3 linked regions of the Drosophila melanogaster genome follow. The protein of the gene in region 1 interacts with the protein of each later gene in a pairwise test. Each region holds a gene or a part of one and is shown on either strand. Other genes may lie near its edges.

What was found.
Region 2: the proteins of yip7 (region 1) and moon interact in a two-hybrid assay, tested with the Drosophila melanogaster proteins (one large-scale study listed by BioGRID).
Region 3: the proteins of yip7 (region 1) and Fa2h interact in a two-hybrid assay, tested with the Drosophila melanogaster proteins (one large-scale study listed by BioGRID).

The regions. Positions count from the first base shown.
Region 1 is NT_037436.4:6,032,388-6,037,604, reverse strand, and holds yip7 (yippee interacting protein 7), read right to left. Parts: upstream 2,390-5,217; 5' UTR 2,363-2,389; coding exon 2,103-2,362; intron 2,047-2,102; coding exon 1,494-2,046; 3' UTR 1,430-1,493; downstream 1-1,429. Other genes in the region: CG6462 (uncharacterized protein), read right to left, coding at 1-494; CG10477 (uncharacterized protein), read left to right, coding at 3,000-3,259, 3,312-3,870.
Region 2 is NC_004354.4:12,070,687-12,075,963, forward strand, and holds moon (moonshiner), read right to left. Parts: upstream 2,133-5,277; 5' UTR 2,045-2,132; coding exon 1,526-2,044; 3' UTR 1,322-1,525; downstream 1-1,321. Other genes in the region: CG34323 (uncharacterized protein), read left to right, coding at 28-195.
Region 3 is NT_033778.4:7,444,370-7,453,819, reverse strand, and holds Fa2h (fatty acid 2-hydroxylase), read left to right. Parts: upstream 1-2,266; 5' UTR 2,267-2,374; intron 2,375-3,824; exon of another isoform or gene 3,825-4,040; 5' UTR 4,041-4,051; coding exon 4,052-4,402; exon of another isoform or gene 4,403-4,653; coding exon of another isoform or gene 4,654-4,826; intron 4,827-4,878; coding exon of another isoform or gene 4,879-5,037; intron 5,038-5,200; coding exon of another isoform or gene 5,201-5,508; intron 5,509-5,564; coding exon of another isoform or gene 5,565-6,033; intron 6,034-6,108; coding exon of another isoform or gene 6,109-6,166; exon of another isoform or gene 6,167-6,347; intron 6,348-6,638; coding exon 6,639-6,866; intron 6,867-6,930; coding exon 6,931-7,419; 3' UTR 7,420-7,631; downstream 7,632-9,450. Other genes in the region: CG11125 (uncharacterized protein), read right to left, coding at 4,654-4,826, 4,879-5,037, 5,201-5,508, 5,565-6,033, 6,109-6,166; kappaB-Ras, read left to right, coding at 8,125-8,238, 8,303-8,794; CG30503 (uncharacterized protein), read left to right, coding at 9,224-9,450.

The sequences.
Region 1 (5,217 bases):
CCAAATCCCAAGTAATCAGGATAAATAATGAAATCTCTATGCGTGACTTGTAACTCCTCCACGGAGTCTTCTACATCGGCAAATACGGTGGCGCCCGTGTATATCTTTGCAGCTATGGCATCGGTCAGACAATGGGCTGCAGTCAAAACAAATTGAAGAGTGATAAGGGAACCACCGCACTTGACCAGATCTGCGCCACTCAGCTGAATCACCAGACCCACTTGATAGGGAAACATGCCGCGCGTGGCCAATTCTCCTCCAGCTATTCGAGTTCTCACAGCAGCGGTTTGATTACCTTCCATCTCGAATTTTTCGCAGCGAAGTCGAAAGTTTTCGTAGCCAAGCTGCCAACGTCTTTCCATGATTGCATCGTCATCGTCCGGTGTCTCCTCTTTGGGGTGCTCAAAAGTATCTAGCCAAGGCTCACTTGATTTAACTAGTGTGGATGATAGAAGTAGCAGGAAGAAAGCACTTGTAGCCTGGTATTGCGCCATTTTATCACTACGGAATTGAAAAAATAATATGGGGAATACCTGTTATTGCATTCTATACTATATCTTTTAAATGTAATATTTCCTTTTTCTGACCAAATTCATAGAATACCCCCCGCCCCCCCCCCCCCCTTAAATATGTGAATAGGAAACTCTATTCATTATGTTGAATGAAATTTATGAATGAATTGCCTTTTTATTTACATATATTATATATATAGCTGATGTTCCTCGTAATGAGTTAGTCCAAGTTCAGGTCTGAGTGGGCTCTTCACGTGAAGTACTGGGCTTGTTGTTGTATTTGCTGGTGTTTTTATAGTCAGCGATTGTGGCATCGACATTGCGTCATCGACTTGGATGCGGCACGTGTCCGCATCGTTTGTTAATTGAATTTGCTTGGGCCGAGTGCAAATTATACGGAGACGGGAGGAGCAGCAGATGTTTGGCATTCAATTCCTCCAGCTACCGTGTAATTGCCGCACGTTTTGGCGATTATGTTGCTTAGGCTAGGCCTTCGTCTCCCTTTGGCATACTGCAGTTTCCTTAATTGCTTTCGAACCCCCCATTTTCCCGGGTCCTCAATTGCACGATTTCAGTCTTAGCCCCCAACATTGGCCAGAATGTCTGGGTCGGGGTCTCTGTATTTATTGACTGTCGTTTTATCAACGCTTAGTTTATTATTTGTTTAATTTACTGCACACCTTCGCCTGCATTTCGACACATGAAAGGCCATTGATAATTTTCCTGGAGTTGAATGGCTGTGGGGTTTTACAATCCAAGGCCCCGATTTCGTCACCGATCATAAAGTACCCACTTTGGCGATATCAAAAGCCAGAAGTGTATTAAGTTAGTCTATAAGAGTTATTATGAAATCTGATTCATTAAACGGTAAGAGAGTAGATCTCAATCTCTAGACATTATTTAAAAGTCTAACATGTGTAAAATCATGATTACAGTTTTATTTATAATATTTTGCAGTTTTCATATTTCATACTTCAACACTTAGATACCGGAAGTTTCCTTGATCCAATCGCGATAGTAAGTGATACGGGTGAAAGCAGCTGGTGCGCCAGACTCGCAACCATCAGCGGATCCAAAGGAGGTGGCACCGATGAGGACACCATCGAGAGCCAATGGGCCGCCGGAATCACCCTGGCAGGTGGAGGCCTTGTTGGTGGTGTCAACGCAGAGGACCCTGCTGGTCACGATCAGGCTTCCGAAGGTTTCCTGGCATTTGGAGTTGGAGATGATGGTAAGGTCCACGTACTGCAGATCGCGAGACACGGCGGTGGCTTGGTCGGAGGTGAGACCCCATCCGGAGGCAACAGCGGTCTTTCCCTCGTAGGTGGAGTAGCTGTTGGAGACGGCGGGCAGGCTGATCTTGTTCACGGTAGCCGAGAAGGACACGGACGAAGTCTGGATCAGGGAGATGTCGTTGCGGATGGTCAAAGCCAGGTAGCTTTCGTGCTGCCTAAACTTTGAGCTGCTGACGACTTGGGTGAACTCGGGGCTAGTACGGACAGTGGCACCGTAGTAGATGGTCACGGAGGCGGCACTATATTGGAAATACTCTCATTAGACCTGGTCTTGAAGGACGGAAAATGCACTTACCCGTCGGTACAGTGAGCAGCAGTCAGCACCCACTCGTTTCCGATGATGGAGCCACCGCACCACCAACTGCCAGCAGAGCTGGAGAAACTAAGTCCCACCTGGTAGGGGAACTGGCCGGCAACGGCGTCCTTGCCGTTGGTGATGCGACCGGTGATGGATGGGGTCGAGACCCTGTCACGGGGATGTACAGGGGCAATATTGGGCAGGAGCCCAGCGGAGGCGGAGGCCAGAGCCAGAACCAAAACTACGAAAACCTTCATGCTGATGGTTGCTCAAACTATGAGTGATTTTCCCTTTCCAACACGGCCTCTTTTATACCCAGACTGAGAAATCTTATCTGCATAGATGGCTGGGCAAGTCCACTTAAATGTTCTGATTAAGTGTCGCAAAAATTTTTTTAAGTTTATTATATGGCGCTTTTGTAAAATTTTTCTATTTGATAAGATATTAATGTAGCTACTGGCATTTATTTCTTCATCACAAATTAGGGACTTTCAAATTGTGCGAATAAAAGATAATTACTTTGGTAGCATTACCACTTTTGTGCTTTTGTTTTGCTAGTTGGGATTTGCTTGGTTAAAAACAATTATTTATTACTTATCAATATTTCTTTATCTTAACTGCCTATTTACGTTGTAACTTAAAGAGTAAGCCATAAAGAATAGGACTTTATAAAAAGATTCCAAAGCAAACATTTGCTTTTATTTTATTTAATTCTTGGTAAATTGGAAGCAATATTGCCATAATGATGTAAGGTACAGTGGTTTTAAGACCTTTTTAAGCCTATTTAATGGTTAAAGATTTACAATTCTGTTGTTTCGCTGCTGATTTCAAAGACAATATAAAATGATCCTTAATACCAGAAATTGCTCACTCTTTAAAGTGTATTCGATCCAGATGAAGGTTTTTGCTGTCTTGGTCTTGGCAATTGCCACAGTTTCTGCTGATATCCTGCGCCAGGACACTCCAGTACATCCCCGTGATAGCTCAGCTGTTCCGTCCATAGATGGTCGCATTACCAATGGAAACAAGGCAGCTGCTAACCAGTTTCCCTACCAGGTGGGACTCAGTTTTAAAAGCTCGGCTGGCAGTTGGTGGTGCGGTGGTTCAATAATAGCGAATACATGGGTACTAACTGCTGCTCATTGCACCAAAGGGTGAGTAATTTTTTTAAAAAATCGATAATCGATTTAAGATTTATTCTGTTAGAGCCTCTTCCGTGACCATCTACTATGGGTCCACCGTTCGCACTAGTGCCAAACTGAAGAAAAAGGTCTCCAGCTCCAAGTTTGTGCAGCATGCCGGCTACAATGCGGCTACTTTGCGCAACGACATCTCCCTGATCAAGACTCCATCCGTCACTTTTACGGTTTCCATAAATAAGATTGCCCTGCCCGCCATCGCCAGCAGCTACTCCACCTACGCCGGACAGACTGCAGTGGCTTCCGGATGGGGCAGGACCTCCGATTCCAGCATTGCCGTCGCCACGAACCTTCAATACGCACAATTTCAGGTCATTACCAATGCTGTGTGTCAGAAGACCTTTGGGTCATCTGTGGTCACCAGTGGAGTTATCTGCGTGGAGTCCATCAACAAGAAGTCGACCTGTCAGGGCGATTCTGGCGGTCCGTTGGCTTTGAACAATAGACTAATTGGTGTGACCTCGTTTGTGTCCTCCAAGGGATGTGAGAAAAATGCGCCTGCTGGTTTCACCCGCGTCACCAGCTATCTGGATTGGATCAAGAACCAGTCCGGTGTGTTTTATTAGCCGTAAAGCCACGCAGTCCAGTTTTCATATTCCTAAAAAGCATTGCCTATTTTTGAGCGGCTATAGGAATGAACCCAACAGCGCAATCTGAATTGTAACTGATTATGTTTTTTATGTTGGACATACCCTTATCTTTTTCTTATCTAAAACAAATATTTTGAGTATTAATTACGTAATAAGGAACCTTTTTATTCATTCCATACAAGAAAATACCAAGAATTTTAGAACGTTTTTTTATTATTGTTAAAAATATTAGAAAATGGCCTTGATCCAGCCCACATCCTGCCCAACCTGGCAGCCATCGGGTGAGCCAAATGAAGCACCACCAGCCGCTCTCCGTACCGACGAAGCTTAGTCCCACCTGGTAGGGGAAATTAGAGTTTAAATGGTTTTTTTTCTACAAGAAATCTACTAACTACGTTTACCTTCCCGTGTCAAACGATTAAGTTTCCGAAACTGGTTGGCTTATCAAGCAGAAAGCTAAAATCCGTATCAATAAAAATCTGTATTAGTTATCAATTGGATTGTAAATTTTCAAGTGGGTAATACCCGAAATTAATGTTACCTTATCTTGGGCAAATACAAAGCGATTAATTTTGGGAATTTTCACTTGGACTTAGATTTGCTTGATATAATATAAAATGAACGTTAAGCTTAATAATATCTACACACCTTAAAATGTGATTTTAAATTTTTCACAATGAAATAAAATGAGTACGATTATTATTATGTTAAGAAAATCTATTTGCTATATACAAGTTACACTATTCTATGAATTGTTTTTCAAACTTCTATAATACAGTATTGCCTAGACTGATATTTCTTGTGTTCTCCATTTGCAAACGGAAATGGCCGCCGAGCACTTCAGTATTGTTTGACTTCCATCCAATGGCGGCCGCATCATCGAACTTTTGTTTGCTTTTTGTTCAATTTTTATTAGATACCATTTGTTTGCGTGCCTTGACTGTTTTGCTACTTGAGCCGAAGCTCCAAGGTTCGAGCTCTGTTTTTATGTTTATGCGGAAATCTGCAGAAATTGTGTCAATATCAATAAAATTAGATTAGTATCGACGAGGACGACGCCGACAAACAAGCAACCGAAGTGTGGCAGGCAACAAATAAAGTCCCTTCCCCTTAGCCTGCCTCCCACTTCCTTCCCTAAGCCAATTTCATGTGTTGTGGGCTGCTTCCGTTTTCGAGCTCACTTCCGGCCCACTTCCTTTGGTTGTGTGTGAGTGGGTGTGTATGTGACAACTGTTTAAATGCCTTGAAATTGTTGCAATTTTGATCCGTCCCAATTGGATAAAGTTTTCGGTGGGCACTAAAGCATAGGGCCCCACTTAATCT
Region 2 (5,277 bases), on another chromosome or scaffold:
GATGGTTATCGTTTATGCCTTCCGCAGGAAACCAATAATGGCATATTTCTTAACTATTGGCCGACGCGAATCGGCAGTTCTTGGTGCGAAGTAAACGTTGGCGACGTCCTGTACTTTGGGGTACAATTAGGCATCGAACACGATGGGGAGATACCGAATACGTTCGGAATATTCACCGTTAAATCATCTGGATAAAACATCGGAGAACTTTTCAGTTCCCATTAAACCGGGTGCTGAAATGCAAATGCCCCCATTTAACGACACAATCCCTTTTTGGGGCGTTAATTTTCCAAGTCCGATCCTAAGGATCCTGGATTCTGGATCCTAAGGACCAGAGTCATTGCTTACAAATCTACAAACCGACAATAACCACACACAGTGGCAGCTGAAAAAATACATAATAGGGAACAACTTTAGATATTCAATCCAATCAACTATACAATACAATATTCAATACAATCAACTAAGGGTATTTGCACATTTCCATATTCCAAATTGAAATATATATAGAGAAACAATGCAAGAAAATTGATCAAAAACATGAAATATCTAAGCAAAATAAAACTTTTCTTTTCTGACTTGCCGTATTGTAGTTGCTTAAACGTTGAACAGATTTTATACAATTTGAAGTTTGAAAGAAAAATGATAATGTATACTTACTATACCTCTACCTATTGTTTCTTGACTTGGCTGGTAATTATGCAAAAAGAGATCGAGCTACGTGTGCAGATTTGTGAAAGTTTCCTTATGACAACCGCCACAATATTATGTTGTAATGACCAGAAAGAATACAGAAAGACCCGGTCTAACGACCAAGTTGTCTTGCATTATATATGTAAGTTCAACGTTTTCCGAGTGGATATTTTTGGCGCACCCCATCTCAATTTTAACGCTTTCAGTGTCGACTGCCTCCCACTGACACCCCCACCCACTGACTAATTTGTCACTTTTGTTCTCGCCTCGCAGGGACTTTTGGAATATCTTGTACTTTTTTTGATTGTTTTTTTTTTTTTTTTTTTTTTGCTGGCAACCCTTTTTTCAAGGGCAATTTCGTATTCAAATGTTGTTTGACTCGGTGTCTGTCTCGCTTTCTCTCCATTTAGTTGCTAGTACGTGTTCGTTGTGACCTGCCCCGTTTTCCATTTTGCTCGCAGCCAGTACATTTGGACCACATCCCCCAACCGGGTAGCTCTCATTCGCACGTAATTAGCTGTTAATTTGGACTACCACTTGGCAACCGGGCGTGGAATTTACTTTGTAACTTCTCCCATGTTTCGGTGTGTGGCACCGAGCCGTTCATGGGGAAATTGGGAAAACGTTTGTTGATTTGGCCCACAGAAGACGATGGCATTCGTATGGTTTATTGGCTCTGGTTTTGCTTCACACCTATGCTTATGTTCAATTGGTATGATTTTACAAAGGTTGATTTGATTATACAATTGTTATTTTTAATTTGAGTAAACAATTGATATTTTGAATTTACATATCTATGTGTTTGGGTGCTTATCCTAGGAGGCTGTAAGGACTACATTTCCTGGCCTGCGACCACTTTGTCAACAAACGCCTGAAGCTCGGCTTGTCCCTCTGCGTCGGGGGCTGCCATGATCTTGTCGAGAATCTGCCAGTTAATGTGCTTATTCAATAGTCCCCGTTTGATGACAAAGGCGCGCATCATAATGTTGAAATAGCGAGCTCTCCAAGCGGAACGCAGTCGCGGAATGTAGATGCGATTGTTGACCATCTCGTTGTCGTCCACATCGTAGATGTCGACTTCGCTGCCCTTCTCCTCGACAGGCTGGTCCTGCTTCTTTGGAGCGATTTTCTTACGCTTCTTTGGCTTTGGCGGCAGGGGATTCGATTCCGGCTGTCGGTTGGCCAGCTTCGCCATCCATCTAGATTGCAGGTCGGCCAGCGCCAGGTACTCCTTGTGCGTTAGGTTTGGCACATCGCGGAATAGTCCCTCCATCATATCGATCATCACATCCTCCGGAAAGCTGCACGACTCCGGTATCCAGATGCCATCGGTGGGCAATATCTTGGCCATGGCAAAGCCAAAGCAATGTGGTTGAAATGACTGGTTCTCAATGTTATTGTTTTATGAGAGCTACGCTGCTTACGCCGATAGATTAAGCTTGCTATCGATCGATACAATTGATCATCGACTTACCGCAATGCATGGGAGGATTATAGAATGTTCACACTGATAACGATGTTATAAGCTATTAAATAAATTTATATAGATATATATTTATATATAACAATAATAATAATAACAATTTTACTCATGTGCATTTATAAATGGTAATATAATTTAAATTTTAAGTTATCTTGCAATCGAAAGGGGCTAGAATATTGGAAAAAAAGCCTTGCTTAAAGATTCTTTTAACTTAAACTACGACATCTTCCTGGCCGTTGGACAGCTTCCACCACCTGCAGTGCAGCCCCATGGCAGCCTTGCCATCCATCTGGTGAGCCAAGTAACCCCGGGAACCCAACTGACAAGCAAATTACTTGACCGGGGCCACCACCAACCACAAGTCAAGGTATGGCTGGCAACCGTTAACTTTGCAGCTAATTATAAATGAAATCCGATATCAAAAGGCACACTGGGACACGCCTTTGTGCAACACCCAGGCACCAGCACCCACTAACACACACGGGGGCTTGCCCCCTCCAACCCACGGCACACACACACACTGAACCAGCCGTCGAATACACAGACAATGTCAATTCATTTGGAGTTTTGGAAGTCCTGGTCTTGGAGTCCTACAGTCCTGGAGTCCTGGAGTCCTGGATTCCAACCGGCCGCCAGTCTGTGGTTCTCGGCAAACAAACAAATAATGAAAACAGCACAAAGGGGCTGGCATCGTGGTGTCATCGGCGGGTTAGGGGGTGTTGGGTTGGCGTATTGTGGGCGTGGACCGAGAACAAAGTGGAAAATTCATAAAATGTCATTGTCGCTTTATTAAAACGCGCCAAAAACCTTCACGATGCCCCACTCACCACTAGCAGCGCCATCTAACCCCCATTTCTAACACACAATTAAGCAGTGAAAACAATTTGGTATTGAAAACAATTTAAGTCTAATAAATTATTTCACATATGCGTTACATAATCTGAAATCGAATACAAATGTTTCTATTGTGGCAAGTTCAGTATTACTATGTATTACTATGCTATGTTATAATGTTTTAAAAACCTTAAGACAAAGCGATCATTTCAAATAGAAGTATTTTTTAGCGGTGCACCCACACATAGATGTCAATCGTGGTACAACGAAGGGGGTGTTTCCGAAGGGGTGGGGGGGTGTTTGGGGCTTCATGAGTGAGTGGGTGGGTGCTTTGGCAAATTGGGCGGACGGCGACGTTGTCTGCTTTGCCATCGACAGCTGTTGGCGTCATTTACAAAAGCTTTTTGGCCGTTTTATGGGATTTTGCAACAGTTTCATTTTCATTTTGCGCAGGGCGCACACACACACACACAAACACACACACACACTCATGAGCAGAATAAGGCTTGGGGAGGGGGGTGGAGTTTGGCGGGCATAATGCCGCCATTAGAAGTTGCCGCCAAGCACTTGCTAACGCCAAAAGATGATGATGAGCAGCAGCAAGAGCAATAGCAACAAGGACCATATGCCATATGTGTGTGTGTATGCAGTGGCATTCGCAGAAGGGATCTAAACTCGTATATTTAAGTACTACATTTAAGACAAGACATAAAGGTACCAGGATACTCTTTAAAACAAGATGATTGCCTGCTTTTGAACTTTCAAGACTTTGATTTGTAGCTATTATTTTCTAAAAGTGCAAATATCCCTTTCTAGACTTCAGTTACGAACCCCCTTTATCTTAGACCAGAGACACCCATGCATGTTACGCCGCAGTTGTATCTGTAGTTGTGCGATGTTGCGACAACGATAATAGCTTCAACGTTTGTTGATTCGTTTGCCGTCTATATATGTTAGTCTGCCTGCCTGGCCAAACCTACGATTTTATCACGCCCTAGACCCGCGAACCCCTAAAGTCACCGTCCATGCACCCGCACATAACCATTTTCCCTTGCCCATTTTCCCCAAGCGTCGTCATCGTCAGCGTCATATTTGAACTTTTAATATTGACGCCATTTAACACGTTCGGGTGGAAATTTTATAAATGACTCTGTCTGTCGTTGGCTGGCTCCCTACTATGAACCTCCTCCCTCTGTAACCACCTTGTAACCTCCTTGTAACCCTCAATAACCCGTGTAACCCCCCCAATAGCAAACGACAACCTTCGATCCCCAACGACGCGACAAGGAACAATGATGATAATGATAATGATAATGATAGTGCCGATGATGATGGCGATAGCGCTGATTATGCGGCTGATTTGGGCCGTGAGTAGTTTGGCTTGAAAATGCAGTTTATACGATAAATTACTCGACTATTTGTGGCCATAGGCATAGATTGAATTGAATCATAAATGGCATGGGCGATCAAAACTTTCGAGTCACTTGAATTGGTTACTAACTTAAAAAGAATGGCATAATAAATCGATAAAATCAAGAGTTTCGCTAATAATTGAGTATTTCAATAATATATATTTGGTGATCTTCTTGATTCGAATCCAGAACCAAGTTTCGTGTAGTCCTTGTTCAAACTGTCAATAGTCACTTGCGGCTTTTACGTTGGATTGTCTGCGAATTAGCTGGAGAGAGCAAATCACTTAAAGCGACCGCGCAGCTCAATCACGGCAACTCTAGGACTTTTGGGGCGGTACACTGGGACATTAGGACATCGAGACATCAGGACATCGGGACATCAGGACATCGGGACATCAGGACATCGGGACATCAGGACACGACAGTGGAGTCACTATCGAATGTCAGGAGTGTGTGGCATCTTATAAATCGATATGAGTGTCTGTTGCACAGACAGCGAGACTGAGACTGAAGTTCGATCGTTACTGCCGTCGACAAGAGTGCCTGTCCTGGCATACACTGCAAGAAATGAAGTAGCTATTAACGCAATAAAAGCAGTTTTGCACGAGAGAGCTTAAGTTTGTCCATGTTTTAGTCCTTGGCCAAAGTGAAAAAAAAAACGTATTTGCAAGCCAGTCAAAAGACTGAACTGCACAAGTGACCCGTTTTTTCTGCCTGTGCACCATTGCGAGGGGTGCAAATGGGCGCAGGGACTGTGGCATCGCGTCATCTTGTCAAATATTTCGCGCTAAATTAACACGACAGCGCGCCCAAATGGAGTAAGAAGATGTCAGCCGGGCCGAAAGGACAGACCTG
Region 3 (9,450 bases), on another chromosome or scaffold:
CCAATTTCTATCGGTACAGCAAAAGAACTTTGGCCACGCACCTTCTAACCGCCCACACTTTTAAATTTTTTGTATATTTTTTTAAATTTTATTATTTGCCAATTTCTGGCGGGAACTAACCGAATCTGGATCTGGGCTATGGGATTTTTCCGTTCATATGAAAGTCTCGATCTTAGGCACTATAAAAGCTAGAAAGTTAAGGTTAAGCATGCAGATTCCACAGACATAGACGAAACTTATTTTCGATAACCCTGGTTGTTAAGCTTACCATAACGCCCAAAGCTGCCACGCCCACAGTTTTAAAGATAATGTTGAAATTTTTCATTTTGTATGAATTTGTATTTAAGTTTGTTGTTTTGATAATGTATTTTATAAGACTTGCAAGCATTGGGATTAAAATGGACATTTTTGAAAAGAAAATACGCTGAACATTTCTAATCAAACTAGTTCTAAGGCACAGACTAGTATGAGTATACTAGAAATGCCAAGAAAAAGGCCACAGACTGGACTCCCATGGCATAAATATGTCCCATCCTTCAAAAGCGCTGGGTGTTTTATCCTCTATTGCTTACCTATTCTATTATGGTGTCACACGTGATTAATATGGTTATGGGTGTTGTCACATTAGAGAGTAATTACTTCCTGCTCAAACTTATAAGCAAACTTATCGAGGTGACCCCGCACTCAAGCCAATCAATTCGATTCCCATTCGACCTGTATGATATTAGTGGCTTTGAAGGCGATTGATGCGATGACATGTGTATAATTAACTTCTTCGATATAGTCCCTTGCCATGGACAATAACTAAAATGGTGTCCGTGGGGATTGGCTTGGCCCTTAAACGTCAAGTTGTTGGCACAGACTTGCATTCCCCTTAGGGAAAAGTGGACACAACTCGCCAGCGAACTAGCAATATATTATATATCCCTATACGAATCTATTAGTCTACTTAAACCCAGTGCTATACTAACAAACATATACAAACTATAACTGGGTTACTCCGCGGTTTTCTAACCCATTGAGATGCCTTACAAATTCACCTTTGTGGCTTGAACCGAGCTATTGTGGCTTATCGAAACCTGTTAGTTAGGCTTCACTTTTGCTCACTCAATCGACTTCACTACAAAAAGACGATTAAGCATTACCAACCACACTATCACTGGCACTTAACTGGGATCTCGAAAAGATTTTTTTGGTTCGATTACTGGCAAATGAAATGTACTAAATTAATATTTTAACTATGCTATGTTACATATATCATGAGCATGAGAAACTCTTTAAATCTCAAAACCATTTTAAATAGGGTTTTGATTTGTATCAGTAATAAATGTTCTATAGAAAACGTAAGAAGTTATGTCTGTGAAAGGATGTTTTCATAACTAACATATTTATTAAGTATTAAGTATATAGATAATATATAAATAAGATATACATATGTAAGAACTAAAAATGCCACACTTTTACTATACTTAGGTTACAATGAATCCTAAAATGGATTGGAAATATACAAGGGTCATAATTTAAAAAATTAGATCTATGATATAAGGACTTTTTCGAACTTATAGGTCCTATTGCTGTAAACCTTTGCTTAAAGAACATTTTCGTGCCTCGGAATCTAAACATCATAAGTTACCAACGTGATTTTATATTAGCAGTAGAAAATTATTTCTTGACATGAGGGCAATGATACCATACATCAGGACTGATTCGAGAGTCAAGTGCCCAATAGGAGTACATACTCATGCGAAGAAGTACCTCCATATCGTGGTAAGCACCGAGGAAGCTCGCCGAGGACGATGTTCATGGGTGATTCATTTTCGATTGCCGAAATCAGAGTTCCGATTCGTGGTGACTCGTCTGGGAACAATTTGTATAGGAATCTTGATAAGGGCTCCAGCAATAGTTATCCGCAGCTCGTTAAACGCAATCGAGATCTACGTCAGGATTGTTAGAATATTGGAACACGCAGCGATAGCTACATTTACGGTGCCTTGCAAATTGGACGATAAGAGTTCGGATCGGTACAATCATTACCGGCAGTCCTCCCACTTCGTGGATCACTGTATCTGGAACTACAACTGGAACTTGTCCGGGTTTATCTTATCGTAGCCGATGCGTGGTCCGCTTCGTCAGGAGCACCGACGGCTAGTGGTTAGGGCTAGAGGTGCCGGTAACTAGCAGCGGCTAGAGCCCACAAGATAGCACTGAGCAGCGACGTCGGCGTCGACGCCACGGATGTGGATGTGTTGGGTGGGTGGGCCATAGTTCAGTCGTGAGTTGCGTTGCGTTGCGTGCGGTCAGAGGCTCTGCCGACAGTTGGGAACCCGGTCTGGAGTCAAGAGCCCAGTGTTTTGATCAGAGCAGTGCGAATTCGGTAAATAAATAATCCCGTGGTAGCCGAGGGTCTGAAATTATGCAAATTGCCTGGGTGCAAGTAGCACTAAGTGTGGCAAGCAGCTTAGCCCATAGTTTAGGACGATAGCCCAACTATGTATCTTCGATACTTTGTCATCGCCCGCGATAAGATATCATCCGACCCAGCCCGGTATCCGATCCACAGGTTTTCGGGGCACTGCTAACCCGGATAGATAAAGCTTTGCTTGCCACTATCACTCCCCGAACAAACGCCATTAGCCGCGTGTAAACACGAGTGTTGGGCTTCGTTTGATGGCTCCGCCAATGGACAGACCAGACCATAGGTGCTAGAGGTCGGGCAGACAGTGCCCAGCCTATCCCGCATATGTGTCTATGTGTCAGATAGACACTATTAATCAATGTGACGCAGCCCCAGCCCGGGGTTGAGTCAGAGCACCTGCTCCACCCTCAATCCTAACGTGGCACCCCGTTTGGGGACTTACCACTTGCCACTTTGACAAACGAGCCGTCTACTCCCTCTCATCCAAACCAAATCCCCGCGCTTACAGGCTTTCCTATCAGCATTGATAAGGCAAACTATTGACGGAGCAAGTTCGTCCGTGGAATGGCGACGCTCAGTGCGGCGCGTAGGCAAAAGGCAAAGTGCCCGCGCCGTTAAGAATGGAAATGTTTGTGCGGATCCCATATGGGCACGCATCATCGGAAAGAAACATCTGGCGCACTTCGGGAATGCCAAGTTCAATTGAGCCCCTGACGGCCACTGGGTGAAATGCCTCCAGTGCATTTCCAACATTGCTCTGTAGGTTGCAATTACGACCTGCAATTGATTCGCCCTAATCGCTGTAATTACATCTATTACCGAATCAATTAAACAAATGTTCTGCAAGTGTGGTGTTTCGAAAATCTTTCCCACACCCAACTAGGGAATCCTATAAGTTCAACGCCAGAATAGAAGGTATCAATCCAAAATTTCTTCAACTAAAAGGAAGTCAAAATAATATATCCTTAGGGTCACTAGAAATCGGATAGAAGTTAATTGATAAGCAAAACTTTGACTTTAATGGATACCTTGGAATGCAGATAATAGGTGCAGATACTTTTTCTATACTTATATTTTGGTTTCAATAGATTACGCTATCGTAGGTTTGGCTGTGAAATTTTTTTATGAATCATGAAAATGGCAAATACTATACAGTGCGCATATCAAATATGTAGGAAATGCTGCATCCCTTCAAAAACTATTAATAAAAACAGGATTATTTATAATACATTGTCGTTTTATTTGTGTAAATACCATAAGCATCAAGGTCAAAATTATGAATTCGTAACCAATTATCTCAGCAGATAGATAGCTGTTGTTTTTTTTTAATTAAACAATATGTTCTTAAGGAGATTTACTTAAAATATATTTGTGTGAAATATTTCATTTAGCTGCGCCAATGAGGGTTATTTAATTCAGTTTTTTGGGGATGATACATTTGATCTGTGTACAAAATAACTCTAAGAGGAGGTGAATTATATATTTAATTGAGCGTGTCCGATACAATATGGCATCATGTTGCTGCTGGGCACGCAAAGTAATTAATTCCAAAGATAATCAGTGGCAGAGTATCATGCTCGCAAAGGAACAGCAAAGTCTTATCCGATTGTTTTTCGCACTGCAGTTGCCAAATTGATGCCCATCGACATGGATATACCAAAGGAAGCGGAGTCGAACGACAAGTTCATAGTAAAGTATCGCCAGCAGTATTACGATTTGTCCAGGTTTATGCACAAGCATCCGGGAGGCATAAACACACTCAAAGGTCTCAACAGCGGGGACATGACAGCTCGCTTCCTAAAGGCGCCGCCACATTCGGATGCGGCCATGTACTTGATGAGGGAGTACAAAATCGATCCAGAGGACTCTCGGAAACCAAAGTCGAGCCAAAGGGAAACGTTGCATCACGATGAAGATGGGACTTTGCGACAACGGCCCAGGGAAACGGAGGACAAGAACAATAACCAGGTGGACGATAGTATGGAGGTAAGTTGGATGAGCGGTTTTTAATCTGTAACTCTAGTTGCTGGTCGACTGGATCGCACGTTAAGTTGGTCACAATGCTATCGGGGCGGGGTAGGTCTGCGATCCAAATCTCAGCTAAAAAATATATTATTAACGTAAGGCATGGTTGAAAGGAACACGCGTGTTTTGCAAATCCAAGATTCCAGTAGCTCGCTCGGTCAGTCAGTCGATGGAATGCTTTAATGTTTTTGGGAGCTATGTAGCATGAGTTCTCACAACTGTCGCGACTTGCTGGCCAGCACGAAGACCTTTGCCTTGGAGTATATGCGGATGTCCTCCTCCACGGTGGTCAGCTCCTTGTCGATCTCCGCCTTGCGGTTGCGCACCCTCAACGTCTGTGCAGTCATGGGCATGTGGTTCAGTTCATTAACCAGCTGTTCGTAGCCTGTTAAGATTCGTTAGCAAGGGTCAAACTTATAGTAGTAACATTAACTCACGTTTCTTAGCATTAGTGAGGTGCGTCAGTCGGTCCTGATCGCTGAGCAACACATGGCCACGCGGACAGTCGGGATCCAGCGATTCCGCAAGCTGCTTGGCCACCGCCTTCTCGCGCTTCTGCTTTTCCAGGTAACGCGGCAAGCGCACCTCATCTCGGGCTGTCAAAAAGTACAAATTCATGACTAGTTCAAATCAAATCAGGAGGGAATATAAGATATTTAAAATAGAGAATAATTATAGATTATATATGAAATAATTATCAAAGATATTTAATTTTGTCATTACTGTCGCTGACAATTGGTAAACAAGGGATAAACTCACATCCTAGTTTATGCTCACGACGCTTTGACTTAGAGCTTATGGTGGTGACATTGGAGGCCGTTGTGAAACGACTACGGGCACTGAGTGGAGCCTCGTCGTCTGAGGCGCCGTAGTTTGCAGGTTCGGCCTCGGTCATGGGCATAGCCTCCATTTCGGACATGTTGAAGCGACTCTGCTTCGAGGAGTTCGAACGCGCCGAAAGCGGCAACTGTTCCAAATCTTCCTCGTTTTCATATTGCATGGGTTTGTAGTTTTCCCCGTATTTTGCACCGGATTCCTCCAGTATAGATCTGGCATCAAAGTTACATCTGCGGATAAGATAAACCTTTGTGAAAACCTTCGAGTTTGGTGCAAAAAGTCATACTTCTTCAGAGCATTTGTTAGATAGAGTTCGTCGGTAATGTCCTCAGTTTGGATGGCTATGCTGGTGGAGCTCCGATTCGTGCCACACGATTGACAGCGATCAATGTCTGTATCCGACGAAGGCTCTTGGAGATTCTCGGATTCTAAGTTCTCCGACGGGTCATATAAGATGGGATTGCGCTCCTCCAGGCCATCGAAGCGTTCCCCCTCCGCCGGAACGGCCACGGCCAGTTGGTGCTGTGAGCGAGAGGTGCTGCGGCCATTTTGCAACGAGTTCTGTTTTATAGTTTTGCCCTTAGCTGCTGGTTTCTCCGCCTTCGAGTCTCCCATCACGGAGGAAGAGCGTCGCAGCGGGGGCATCCATTTCGGGCGCGTCGGCTCCTTAGCGGCCAACTTCTGGCTGGTGGACTTTTCCAGCGAGCGCAGGCTCACCTTGTTTTCCTTGAGGAAGTTTCGGGACTGTGTGACGCCTGTGGGAACGGAGACCAAAACAAATTACCAACTGGTTGCCATGGCCAAGCGGCTGTTTGGAAAAGAAATCTTACGCGGCACCGAAAAGATGCCCTTTAACGTTGGAATCGGGCGAACTGAAGTATTCGACATGTTCCACCTACTCCCGAACTATAACTAGACGGCTGGGGCTCCAGAAATGTGATCTCGACTACGACAAGTGGAAACTGCGTCGTTGTGTGAAGTAAGGCACAGGTTCAAATGACAATTTTGAACCAGCTGCTTGTGATTGTACCTGCTCATCGATGCCCGATAACATTATATATCGGTTCGGTGCTGACCCGCGGCTGGCCACATTCGAGCCAACTAACGGTTTATGGGATGTCCTAGTGTTTAAGTAAATATTAAATAAAAAAGCAAGTAGAAATCAAGTGAAATTCTTACTATTCTGTAATTATAGTAAAGTTAAAATAAAATAAATAAAAAAATATAAAATAAAATAAAAACTCTGCACAGCTTCTAATTTTAAATATTTAATTTTCAAAGGTAATTAACCAAACCAATTTATGGTAATACATACTGTATTAATTTATTGACTAACCTATTGTAAATTCATGAATTCCAGCACCTAGTGGACTGGTCTAAGGCAATGCTTCCGCAGATAGCTAACATAACGGATTGCTACGATGAGTGGGTTCACAAGCCGGTGGACAGGCCACTGCGTCTCTTTGACCCTTGGTACTTGGAGATGTGCACCAAGACGCCCTGGTGGCTGGTGCCCCTGTTCTGGATACCAGTGATCGTGAAATGCGCCGTGGAGGAGTTCACCACCGCCTGGCAGGATAGCAACCAGGTGAGTAGTCGCGCAATCTTCGCATTCTTGGATACGATCTTCTAAAAGTATCTTCTTTCTGCAGCTGGCTGTGTTCTCCGGTTACTTTTTATTTGGCGTGCTCCTGTGGTCTTTCCTGGAGTACACACTGCACCGCTGGGTGTTCCACGTGAAGCTGAGCAACAAGAGCGGAAGTTGGCTATGCACCTTCCACTTCATGATCCATGGCCTGCACCACAAGGTGCCCTTCGATCCGATGCGACTGGTGTTTCCGCCCCTTCCCGGCGCAGTGCTCGCCGCGGTCATCTACACCCCGCTCAGCTTTGTCCTGTCCCATCCGCGAGTGATCTTGTCTGGAGCTCTGGCCGGCTATCTGTGCTACGATATGATGCACTACTACCTGCACTATGGGAACCCTTCGCTATGGGCCTTTGTACACATGAAGCGCTATCATCACCACCACCACTTCTCGCACCAAACTCTCGGTTACGGCATCAGCAGTCCCTTGTGGGATGTCGTCTTCAAAACGAGAATCCATCTCCGCAAGCTGAGATACCAACTGCGCTGGTCCTAGCTGCAATAAATGGCTAATACAGTGCTACTATAGAACAAATTACATTCAGTTTTCAACGCAACAGAGTTGCTGCCGCAGCAAATAGTTCAATCAAATCGGAAATTTGGTTTTTAGCCTATTTGTGTAGGCTGAATACTGAGCATTAGGCTTAAGAATTATTTGTAAGACTTTTACCAATTTCTATTAAACAGGAATACACTTCCAATGATACCAAAGAACAAATGGAAAATCCTTTTTGAAAACAGAAAACTGGGCAATCAAAGGAACTATTGGAACTATTTTGGAACTATTTTGGGGAAAAACAAAAAATTTTCGGCAATTTTATGATGCGTCACCAAAGTTTACATTAGAAGTTTGGTACCTTACCTATATATGAGAGGGAATACTTTGATTAACTTTTAATTCCTTTGGTAAATGCCTTATCATCACTCTGGAGCGTTTAAATATTTTTGTTTAAAATCGAATAAATAAAGAAGCAGACAGACGGTTTGTATGAACACTTTCATTTACCTATTTCATACAAATCTGGTACAATCAGTTCAAGTTTGTTTAATAATTAATATTATATTATTAAAATTAGCTTAAGATAATTGTTTAAGACCTGTCTTAAGTGGAATTTCTCATTGGCGTTGCTTGGTCACACTACCAAGAATCCAGCGAAAGTTTTGTTTATTTTTTTGGGTCCCAATTTCTCCTGCTGGAATAATGCTAAATGCCAAGATCGGGAAGGTCGGCAAGGTACTGGTGTGCGGGATGAAGGGCGTGGGCAAGACGGCGCTGATAGAGCAGCTGGTCTACGGCCACGTCAATCCCGAAACGGTGAGAATGCCTTTGGCAGAGCTCAAAGTAAAGCTGATGTCTCATATCCCGGAGTTCATTGCAGGAACTGCATCCAACCATTGAGGATATCTACGTGGCCAGCGTGGATACAGGCAGGGGCGGAGCCCGAGAGACCCTGCGCATCTACGACACGGCCGGATTGCAGGGCGAGCAGCAGCAGCTGCCACGCCACTACCTTCAGTTTCCAGATGCATTCGTTCTGGTCTACGATCCCATGGATCCGCGCAGCCTTGACATGCTGGCCGACATCAAGGCTGACATTGAGAAGCACAAGGAGAAGAAGGAGATTCCCGTTGTGGTGCTGGCCAACGTGAGGGCACGAGCAGCCCCAAATCCCGTCGAGAAGGTCATGGACCGCGCCAACATCTGGTGCCAGCGAGAGCGCATAAAGCACTACACGGTGAACGCCATGGAGCGTCCCTCCCTCTACGAGCCATTCACCACGCTCTGCGCCCGGCTGCACCCAATGCAGACGAAGAGCACGTTCCCTCAGCTGCGCCAAGTTATGCAGAACCGGCAGAAGAGCGAGGCTTAGCTGTTTTGAACGGACGAAAGGGAAGAGATATAATTTAAGTTTTATTCGGGAGTGTCCCAATAATCTCCGATACTTAACAGTAGCTATGAATGCCACAGATTTGGCTTTAAGTTCAAGAGATCCTTGGGATCTCCCCAATCGTACTCGTATTGATCCATTTAGAGTCTACTTGCCTTGTATTAACTGTTGTGCTTTAATGTGGGCCAGAGCCCAAGCCACTTGTACTTATGTCTCTTTGTGTGTGTCCAATTGTATCTACTATTTATTACACCGACATGTCTTCTCTCATTCCGCGAGAATTAAGCGTAATCAGTATTCACTGCTCAATCGCAGCTCAAATGGCGCGTAGTGATTAAATAACCATGCCGAAATTCTGCTCTACGGCAATCCCCTTGGATCAGTCGTCTGCAAGCCCCTTCCTCGAGCGCAATGCTTTCGCGTGCCGCTTTTCTTACTGTTCTCCTAACGCTGATCTATGCCAGCCATGCGGCTGCGGGATTGAGCATTACAGTTCCGGGCACAAAGTGGTGTGGACCCGGGAACATAGCAGCCAACTACGATGACCTGGGCACTGAGCGCGAAGTGGACACGTGCTGCCGGGCGCACGACAACTGTGAGGAGAAGATTCCGCCGCTGGAGGAAGCCTTTGGCCTGAG